Linked DNA regions of Saccharomyces cerevisiae S288C. The protein of the gene in region 1 purifies or fractionates together with the protein of each later gene. This does not show direct contact. Each region holds a gene or a part of one and is shown in the gene's direction. Other genes may lie near its edges.

What was found.
Region 2: the proteins of YGR266W (region 1) and NCE102 purify together in Saccharomyces cerevisiae (affinity purification with mass spectrometry, with the first as the bait; one large-scale study listed by BioGRID). This does not show direct contact.
Region 3: the proteins of YGR266W (region 1) and FPR3 purify together in Saccharomyces cerevisiae (affinity purification with mass spectrometry, with the first as the bait; one large-scale study listed by BioGRID). This does not show direct contact.

What each region holds. Positions count from the first base shown.
Region 1 is NC_001139.9:1,020,987-1,025,421, forward strand, and holds YGR266W (uncharacterized protein), read left to right. Parts: upstream 1-1,669; coding exon 1,670-3,775; downstream 3,776-4,435. Other genes in the region: methionine--tRNA ligase MES1, read right to left, coding at 1-867; FOL2 (GTP cyclohydrolase I), read right to left, coding at 4,018-4,435.
Region 2 is NC_001148.4:828,328-831,070, forward strand, and holds NCE102 (Nce102p), read left to right. Parts: upstream 1-1,590; coding exon 1,591-2,112; downstream 2,113-2,743. Other genes in the region: SUE1 (Sue1p), read right to left, coding at 2,728-2,743. UniProt on the Saccharomyces cerevisiae protein: Involved in membrane organization. Required for the formation of membrane compartments of CAN1 (MCCs), localization of CAN1 at the MCCs and subsequent invagination of the plasma membrane at the MCCs sites.
Region 3 is NC_001145.3:119,447-122,861, reverse strand, and holds FPR3 (peptidylprolyl isomerase FPR3), read left to right. Parts: upstream 1-1,537; coding exon 1,538-2,773; downstream 2,774-3,415. UniProt on the Saccharomyces cerevisiae protein: Proline isomerase that belongs to an abundant class of enzymes that catalyze the cis-trans isomerization of X-Pro peptide bonds and can accelerate the refolding of proline-containing polypeptides. Specifically binds nuclear localization sequences.

The sequences.
Region 1 (4,435 bases):
AGTTCTACCGAAATAATCAAATCCAATTTGGAACCACTTGTAAACGTCACTGTGGATTTTGTGATATTTGTCACATAATTGTCTTGGTGTCACACCTTCCTCCAAAGCTTTAGTTTCCGTGGCAGTACCATATTCATCAGTACCACAAATAAACAAGGCATTATAATTACGTCCCTTACAGTAACGAGCAAAAATGTCTGCTGAAAGAACACTACCGATGATATTACCCAAGTGTGGAACGTTGTTGACATAAGGTAATGCCGAAGTGATCAAGATGTTTCTTTCGTTTGGCTTAGGCAAAATTTCTGAATCCTTTGGCTTAACTGTTAAGTCAGCTTGGATTTTCACTGCGCCGATGTTTTTGAAAGAAGAAGAATCACGTGGAACATGCTTTTTAGCCAATGCTACAGCGTTATGCACTTTGGATGGCAATTCTGGGAATTTAGAATGAACTAAAGAAGAATTTAGAGCATAAACGTTAGCAAACAGGATCAAATCTGTAGTAGTCAATGGTTCTTTTAATTCGACCAAGTAATTTTCAATGGCCTTATTTGTCAAAACCTCGACATGTTGTTGAGGTAATTCTTTATGATATAACAGGTTTTGTAAAGATGCCAATGCAAATTGATACTTGTCGGAAGTTTGACCTTCAAAATCATCCATGACATATCTTAGAATAGCGTTAGCATCAAACAAAAGGAAAGGTTCCTTTGTATTGCGCAATTCCATGGCAGCATTATCATTGTCAACTTCAGGCTTTAAATTTTTGCTTGCATATTCAAGTGCTAGGGCAATCTTCAAATTGTTCGCTAACTGCAAATGGGCAGGATGTTTCTTCGATTTATCAAAGGAAATGAGGAAAGACATGCTTGTTGTAAATTTCCGCTTTTTTTTCAAGTTTTATTCCTCCACAAAGATGCATATCAGGAAGCAAATCATCATTAACATTAGACATCGAAGAAAATTTGTCATCGTCTTTTTTTTTTTTTCGTTTTCTCTTTCGATAAGTTGCGTACAGAAATTTTTTCTGCCTCCGAAATCATTCGTGCCTCGTGATATTGAGAAGAAGTGACTATACTCGGGCAATGCATAAATGATCGTTTCGGCGGCTAACAAAGATAATCATAGCAAGTCGACAGATCGATAGGATACACCATTATCATCACGCTACGCGTTCTCGGGAAAGCTTTGACTAGAATATTTTTCAAAGTTGAATTATATTATGTTAATCTTTTGACTTCATGCCTTTTGAATTCCCCTCCATAGGTTCCCATTTTTGACTTCAACAATTCCTACTTCAAAATCCCTGGTTAAAGAAGCCTTTCCTCAGTTTGTACAACTATGTCCGCTGTAGCTAAAAAGTTAGCATAATTCATGTTTTATGCCTGAGACGTTTTAAACTAGTACTTAATCTCTATCAATAAACTTAACCCAGAAGGTCTCAAGATTAAACATGTTATTTTTTCGTCCTTTTATTGAAAAAAGTTGAAATAGCAGCGTCGGGTAATACCAGGAATATATTTTTATCGGCACGGCTACATAGCGAAGGGTCCATTAGTAAAAATGAAAAGAAATTCCACAAAGTTAGTGAGGGGAAAGTCCTACAGAAGGTCAAAACAGTTGCTACCGGGTTCAAAGTACTCAATTGAAAATAAACACTGCTACAAAAATGCATGCTACAAACTGGTTCGACGATTGGAACCCAGAAGCTCTTTATAGAGACGATGTCACTGGCTGCGATGACTGTTCCGAAACTTCGCCAATTCCAAAGTCTGGTATTATATGTGGACCGATATTAAGACTCATCAACATGGATTTTAAGGAAAAAACCTACGAGGGGTCTATTATGGTGGTAGTTAGAGGCGAGGAAAACTTTCCGAAAATTACCTATCAGCTAGGGCCCTCTTTGCCCTCTGAGGATGAAGACATCGAAGTTAACGAGGCATTCTTCGAAGGTAAACTTTTTCATAAGGACATTTTAAAAGATGATAATATATGGTTTTACAGGTATGAGATTAAGTTGCCCATGTCCAACTATGAGCAGATGGTAAAATATGCTGTTGACGGTACTATGGAACCACATTATAGGTTCTTCGTTCCCTCTTTCACTCAAAATTCGAACGTTATCTCCTATTCATGCAACGGATTTTCACTGAGCGTAGATACATCGAAATTCAAAGGTTCTCTATGGTATGATGTCCTTAAAAAGCATCGATACGTTCATTATCATGCCATTCTCGGCGGCGGAGATCAAATTTACTCCGATAATATTAAACTGCATGCGCCAAATCTTAAAGCTTGGCTGGAGACAAAGGACCCAATTAAGAAGTATAATACTCAGACCACTGAAGAAACAAAAGAGCAGATTAGGCAGTTTTATTTAGAACACTATTTAAACTGGTACGGTTACGGTCACTGGTATGGTTCTACCCCAAAATCCAAGACCACCCAAAAATGCTTTGTCAAGTCACTAGCTTGTATTCCTGCCATTAATGTCTGGGATGACCACGATATTATTGATGGCTATGGATCGTACAACGATTCCTTCATGAAGACTGAAAATTTCCTCACAGTGGGAAGAATGGCTTACCGATACTATATGCTTTTCCAGCAGCATGTCAGTGCTTCTAAACAAGATGGCGATGAGTATGCTTATCTCAAGAGCAAACAATGGATTCTAGGTAATGAAAAAGGGAGTTCTTATATCGGTGAAAGGTCTCACTCAATATTCTCTTGGTTGGGTCCGAAAATGGCCATGTTAGGGTTGGACTGTAGAACTGAGAGGAAATTACACGAGATTTTCTCAGAAAGAAGTTATTCCTTAATTTGGGAACGTGTCGAAAGGGAAATAAAAAATTTAAAAGGTGGCCACTTATTGCTGATGCTCGGTATCCCGATTGCATATCCAAGGTTAGTATGGTTAGAATGGCTTTTTACCTCAAAACTACTGGCTCCAATTAAATATTTATCTAAAAAAGGGATATTTGCTAGTGGCTTCGTTAACGAATTTAATGGAGATGTAGAACTGTTGGATGATTTAAATGATCATTGGTGCGCGAGACATCATAAAAAAGAAAGAAACTACTTGATAATGAAATTGCAAGACATAGGTGCTAAATATGGCGTCAGAATAACCATATTATCAGGCGATGTACATTTGGCATCTGTTGGGAGATTTAGGGCAAAAATTCATAGACACCATCTCATCATGTCTGAGGAGAAGGAAAAGGAAAACACCAGAATTATTGAAGAACCAACGAAAGACGTAAGGCTGATTTTTAATATCATTGCTAGCGCCATAGTAAATACCCCACCGCCAGATGCAATGGCCACGCTATTGCAAAAAAGATGTCGCTTGCATCATTTCGATTTGGAAACGGATGAAGATGCCGTACCAATTTTTGCCAAGGAAGTGGATGGAGTACATAAACGTAAAGAATCATGTTTCATGAACAAGAGAAACTGGTCAGATATTATACCTATAGAAAACCTGTTGAATAATCCCCAATTGAGTAAAGAATTAGGCGTAAAGGTTGGTGATATAGTCATTCCTGGTATCATCACAGAACAGCAAAAGCTACAGAAATTGGAAAACGATGACCAAATTAACTCTTATCCAGTAACTTCTGGTGGCTTGTTTACCACCATTCATGTTGAAAGAGATGCAAATCAAACAAACTCACAAACTGTGAGCTACTGTTTACCCATTCCAGAGTTAACAGTTACCTGCGAACGGTTGTCTCACAAGGGTATCAAACATCTGAATATCACATAGTTTAGTTTTGTGATAATTACAGATTTTTATTTAGCAGTTCAAACTTTTCTATTCATTACTAACGGACTGTCAAGTGCGATGCTGTACCGGAAGTAAATGTATATACTGATTGTTGAAAAAAAAAAAAGCTCAGTCGCGCGTGGCCTTTCTCTATGGAGATTTCTCAAACGATATTAATCCTGTATATCTCTATTAATTTAGTTAATACATACACGATATATCGTCGCTTTTATTTTTTTTTTTCAAATACTTCTTCTTCCTAAAAGAGTTAAAAACTCTTCTCTTGTTTTATGAGCCCTAAACCCTCCAAGCATACAAGAAGTTACCGTAGAAGATCCCGTTTTTTGAATGCCTCTTGAAACCATGCACATATGAGAAGCTTCCATAACAACGGCTACACCTAATGGTTTTAGAATATCACTTAGGGCCATTGCAATTTGCTTTGTAAGTCTTTCTTGAACTTGGAGCCTTCTCGCATACATTTCTGCCAATCTGGCCAACTTACTTAACCCGATGACTTTTTTATTTGGTATATACCCGATATGAACCTTGCCGAAAAATGGCACCAAATGATGTTCACATAACGAGTAAATTTCAATATCACGAACAATAACCATTTCATCATGATCTTCTTCAAAGACAGCATTCTTAATGACATCG
Region 2 (2,743 bases), on another chromosome or scaffold:
CAGAGCCAACTAACTAAACTGCTAACCTCGCTTTCTTTACACAAGTAGTACTCAAGAAGTTTCATAAAATGCCCAGTTACACACTCGTGAAATGCACTTCAAGGTGGTGTTACAATTTTCACGAACTGCAACAATTGAGTATATTTATTAAAGCAGGAATATGTTTGCCCAATCAAACGTAATTTCATATATGAACATATATGAAGTTGCACACATCAGCGGGAAAGATGTCTCTACCGCTCGAGGAGCCACACGTTTGATTTGCAATCCATGAAATAGAACTGCTAATCCCATATACAATTAACTATATCAATTTCCTGAACAAAGAGATTACAATCAACGGCAAAGCCGCCTGCCTCTCCGGAGATCTCCTTTTTTCTTCTTTCTTTTGTCCTATGTTGCATAGTTGCTCATGTCTTTTCCTTAGGCGGACAATTAAGAGCAGCCACAATATTTCCAAAACTAAATTGCTAAAAAAGCGTAGCAAAAAATTCTCGTCATTCCCACTTTCCCTACCTTAACCCTTGATGTTAACGCCGTTTCGCTCATCGGAACAAACTATACAGATAATTAAGCTTTTCGGCAGCGGTGAGAAAGGAAGCAGCCAGGAGGAATACGCGGCTTTCTCGCGGAGCCCGATTGCCGATACAAAGGAACTGTTGCCTCCTCCCGGCTATTTCCATAGGCCTTCATTCAGCATACTGTTGTGTAGTTGCATCACATCCTTGTTGAATGAATTCCAACTATTTCGATAAACCATCCCATGAAGGAGAATGCAATGCGGCTTTTGTTTGTAAACGGGCTTGAGAGGTTCTATGCGGTTAATTCTGTCACTAGGGGTCCGAATCTCGGATTAAGTATAAAATATGTATTACCCTGATGATTGACCGGATGATGTAAGGATGCATGTCCCTACTGTTTTGGTATTTCCACATACGGACGGGGCCCCGAAACACCACCCCCATTTTAACGGCCGCATCTGAGCATCGGCCCATTTGGCACACGCCCGTTAGTGACGTTGGTAGGGGCATTTCCCTGAGGTAGGCCCAAGGTTGCTTTAAAAGGTCCATCGCAAACCCCTTGTCCGCGGACCTCTGCGTCATAATTAAAATGCCCAAAACATAAAAGTGATCGCCCCCTCACAGAAACTTATGGGCAGCTTGCTGCCTTAACGGAATTGACTAGAATTGGTTTGATTTTTTTTTCTTCCTACTTCTTCTTCCATTTCCCTCCCCTCTTCCTCATATATGTATACAGAAAAATCATACCCCTATAAATTCCTTGGCCCCAATCTTCTGTCAGATTTTCCTTTATAAAAGAGTCTTTGTTTTGTAATTAAAAGATACTTTTTTCTTTCTTCTTCTACGTCTCCTTTTTTTTTTTTAAGAAAATTTAACTTATACCACTATTTTGTTCGCAATTGATCAAGAAAAAATACAATTGAAAAGGTTTTACATTTTTAATTTTTCTGCTCATCGCGCTTTTTTAAAAGGATAAATAAACATTTCTTTAAAAAACATCTTCAATAAGAAAAATCGGTTAAAAAAACTTTTCTTCTCAAAGCATACCTAATAACAATATAATCCCATAATGCTAGCCCTAGCTGATAACATTCTACGTATAATAAATTTCCTATTTTTGGTTATTTCCATCGGTTTAATCAGTTCGTTGTTAAACACCCAACATAGGCACAGCTCCAGAGTAAACTACTGTATGTTTGCTTGTGCATATGGTATATTCACCGATTCATTGTACGGTGTCTTTGCCAACTTCATTGAACCATTGGCATGGCCACTAGTTTTGTTCACACTGGACTTTTTGAACTTTGTGTTCACTTTCACTGCCGGTACAGTGTTGGCCGTTGGTATCAGAGCTCACTCATGTAACAACAGCTCATACGTTGACAGTAACAAGATTACTCAAGGTTCCGGTACCAGATGTAGACAAGCTCAAGCCGCTGTTGCATTCCTCTACTTCTCTTGTGCCATCTTTTTGGCTAAGACCCTGATGTCTGTTTTCAACATGATCTCCAATGGTGCCTTTGGTTCTGGTTCTTTCTCCAAGAGAAGAAGAACTGGCCAAGTCGGTGTTCCAACCATTTCCCAAGTCTAATTGAAGCGCACCAACTTAAATTTTACGCCACTTTCAATTAAGAATATAATAAATGGACACCGTGAATAAATTAGGGAAAAAAGAAAGCAAATAAGAAAACTCCGTTTTCCCTCATCCCTTTCCGTCTTTCGGAAGAAACAAAAAATTATACCCAAGGAAAACCCGAAAAAAATGAAAAAAATACCAGAAAAAAAATAACAAATCATATGCACTTCTTCATTAACGATTATGAAGAAGTCTTATTTCTAACTAATATTATTATTATTATTATTATTATTATCATTCACCCCGCTTTCTTTTATTATAATTTGTTCTTCTAATATTTTAATTTTTAATCTTTTCATACTATTCTTATATCTAACTAAAGTATCCTTCTCTTTGTCTAGTTTTACTTCACTACATACCTGTTGCGTTGATTTGAGTTTTTTGTATGTAAGTTCTGTTTATCCTTTTTCATCCTACCGTTCCGCGCACGGCGTGACGTGGATCCCTAATGTGAGTTCAAATCGGTTACAAAAATTAATAGTTTTGTTTCCTATTATTATTATTATTATTATGTATGAGGAATCGTGCTATAAAATCATTTTCCATATGTATATGCCAAATATTTATTATTTATTTCATCTTTTTT
Region 3 (3,415 bases), on another chromosome or scaffold:
GGAAATAGAAGAGAGATTTTTAAACAAAAAGTAAATGGTTTTAAACGTTGGCAATAACAAGGCCTGCTCACAGCAAATAAAACGGGAATAGAACAGGAACGGGAATAGAACAAAGATAAGAAAATTGAAAGTAGAAAAGACAAATAGTGAGAAACAAAATGCAAGAGAAAATGCATCGCTTGAGCCCAATGTTCCTACCAATATTAAGGGGATTTCAGGTATCAAAGTCGCATTGACGTATAAAATACTCCAAAAAATGCGCTCTGTTTACTTTGTTATCTATGAAATGAGGAAAATGCAACCGGTGAGTGTAAAAGCATCCTGCAGGAATTTGTTACAACTTCATCTCAGTTACCAACATAGCCAACGGACGTCGATATTGTCCTTTACCCCACTGGTAGTGAAATACTTTCGAGTAAATGTCAGGACGTTAGAAATCATCCGAGTCATGCTTCGACTCCATGTATTTTTATTCTCTAAGTGTGCTTTGGAGTTTCCCCGCGAGTTCTCACAGAATTGGCTTTACTGCCAAAAGTTGAAGACAGCATAGTCATTGGCTTCGTCAAAAGATCTTCATTATTTAAAGCAAGCAATGATCAATTCTAAGACGGGTTAACAAAATATGGACAGAGCATCTTCAAGCAAAACTAATGCGGCAATGTTAAGCTTACATATATTCGAACGGTAATAACATCGATAATACGGTTATAGCCACCAACTCTGCATTATAGAAATGAGAAAAGCGCCATAGCTATTATTTAACGTAACTTACCAGAAGTCCTTGAGCAGACGATTGAGCATTGAATAAAAAATAAAATTCTTGTAATTCTTGGAAGGAAGAACGACACAAATAGATAAATGGCGTATTTTCTGAGCAATGAACTGTGTTCCATCAAAAACATTTTATCGCACACCATAGGCACTTAGAAAAACAAACCTTTGTGCCAGTATTTGAATGAAAACACTTTGGTTGAAATGTATTGTGAAATTAATCATCGAGCACTTTACGGTTGGCAACGACACATTACTGACGTTCTTTCGCCGATTTGTTACTTTAATATATTGTACAAAAATGCATCAAAGAACATAAAAGAGAGCGATCGCACAATCAAACTTCTTTTGGAAATAATCTGTCATCAATGCTCCAAACATTCTACTATCACCTGTTCATGATATTATGGGGAGAATATGCCAAATGTATATGACACATCGCATACTTTCTACCTTTTTCAACTGGCTTGCTTCCTCTACCTTTCACTAAAATCTGGATTGCATCTACATCTATATAGTCAAAACCGGCAAGAACAGAGATTATGATACATGCTTCATGTTCCATTGATTAGAATCCACTAGTATTAGCTCGCTGTTCAATTTTCAGCCCTCTACGGACTGTCGTCATTCCTAAAGGACGGCAAAATTTAAAAGTGAAGGTAAAATTTTTAAATTCGAAAAAAGAGCCTACTAACACGTTTCTATATAATACATAATTGTGTGAAAGTTCATACATAATTGAAAGCAAGCATCCAACCAGCCCAATATGTCTGATTTGTTACCACTAGCTACCTACAGTTTGAATGTTGAACCTTATACCCCGGTTCCAGCAATCGACGTCACGATGCCCATCACCGTTCGTATTACTATGGCTGCTTTGAACCCGGAAGCCATCGATGAAGAGAACAAACCATCGACTTTAAGAATTATCAAAAGAAACCCGGACTTTGAAGATGATGATTTTTTAGGTGGTGATTTTGATGAAGACGAAATAGACGAAGAATCCTCTGAGGAAGAAGAAGAGGAAAAAACCCAAAAGAAAAAGAAGAGTAAAGGCAAGAAGGCTGAAAGTGAAAGTGAGGATGATGAAGAAGACGATGACGAGGACGATGAGTTCCAAGAATCCGTCCTTTTGACTTTATCTCCGGAAGCCCAATACCAACAATCTTTGGACTTGACCATTACTCCAGAAGAAGAAGTCCAATTCATTGTCACTGGTTCTTACGCTATCTCCTTGAGCGGTAACTATGTTAAGCATCCATTTGATACTCCAATGGGAGTCGAAGGTGAAGACGAAGATGAAGACGCTGACATCTATGACAGTGAAGACTACGACTTGACCCCAGATGAGGATGAAATTATTGGCGACGACATGGACGACTTGGATGACGAAGAGGAAGAAGAAGTTCGTATTGAAGAAGTCCAAGAAGAAGATGAAGAAGATAATGATGGAGAAGAAGAACAAGAAGAAGAAGAAGAAGAAGAACAAAAAGAAGAAGTTAAGCCAGAACCTAAGAAAAGCAAAAAGGAAAAAAAGAGAAAGCACGAAGAGAAAGAAGAAGAAAAGAAAGCTAAAAAAGTAAAGAAGGTCGAATTCAAGAAGGACTTAGAGGAGGGTCCAACAAAACCCAAAAGCAAAAAGGAACAAGATAAGCATAAACCAAAGAGTAAGGTTTTGGAAGGCGGCATAGTAATCGAAGACCGTACTATCGGTGATGGCCCACAGGCTAAGAGAGGTGCCAGAGTAGGCATGAGGTACATTGGTAAGTTAAAGAACGGTAAAGTTTTCGACAAGAACACCAGCGGTAAACCATTTGCATTCAAACTTGGCCGTGGTGAAGTTATCAAAGGCTGGGACATTGGTGTTGCCGGTATGTCTGTTGGTGGCGAACGTAGAATCATCATTCCAGCACCATATGCCTACGGGAAGCAAGCTCTGCCAGGTATTCCTGCCAATTCCGAACTGACATTCGACGTTAAATTGGTTTCTATGAAAAACTAGTACACGCGCTCGTACGGATAGATGTTTATATATATTATTCTTTTTACATAATATTGTAACCTTCTGTATGTAAATCCGAAAACATTCTATTTCTTTTTAGTATCTATTGCTCTTTATAAGCTTTTCATTTTACTTTTCTCCGCGGATGATACAAATAAAGAAGCTGTGTTGTATAGAAAGAAATATATGGCGGCAAAAAAAGCGTTATCTTCTTTCTGTTCCTATTTCACTGAGTGCTACTGGATGGTCGTCAAGAAAGGTGAAGAAATCTTCAAAGCAATAAGAATTCAGACATTGACGTTAAATTAGATTATCGCCGCAGCTGTAATTGCGGTTATGGCCTCTAGTATTTAGTTCGATGTTAATGAAATAAAGCGCAAGCTGACTGTGAACGATAACCGCCAGGAAGGCTAGACACAGCTCTTCAGCTAAACAGTAGCCGGAACACATATACATTAGGGAACATTAGAAATAAGGCTCTCGTTGATCATCCTTGTAACTGAAAATTAGAACCGTTAAACGCTGCTGATTGATGGATTCCAGCCGTTCTCTTCCAACCCCTTTTACCCCGATTGTTCGTCCACTATCATGACTTATTATCCACTAAAGTGGCGTTGGCTGTACATTCGGGTGATGGTAGTA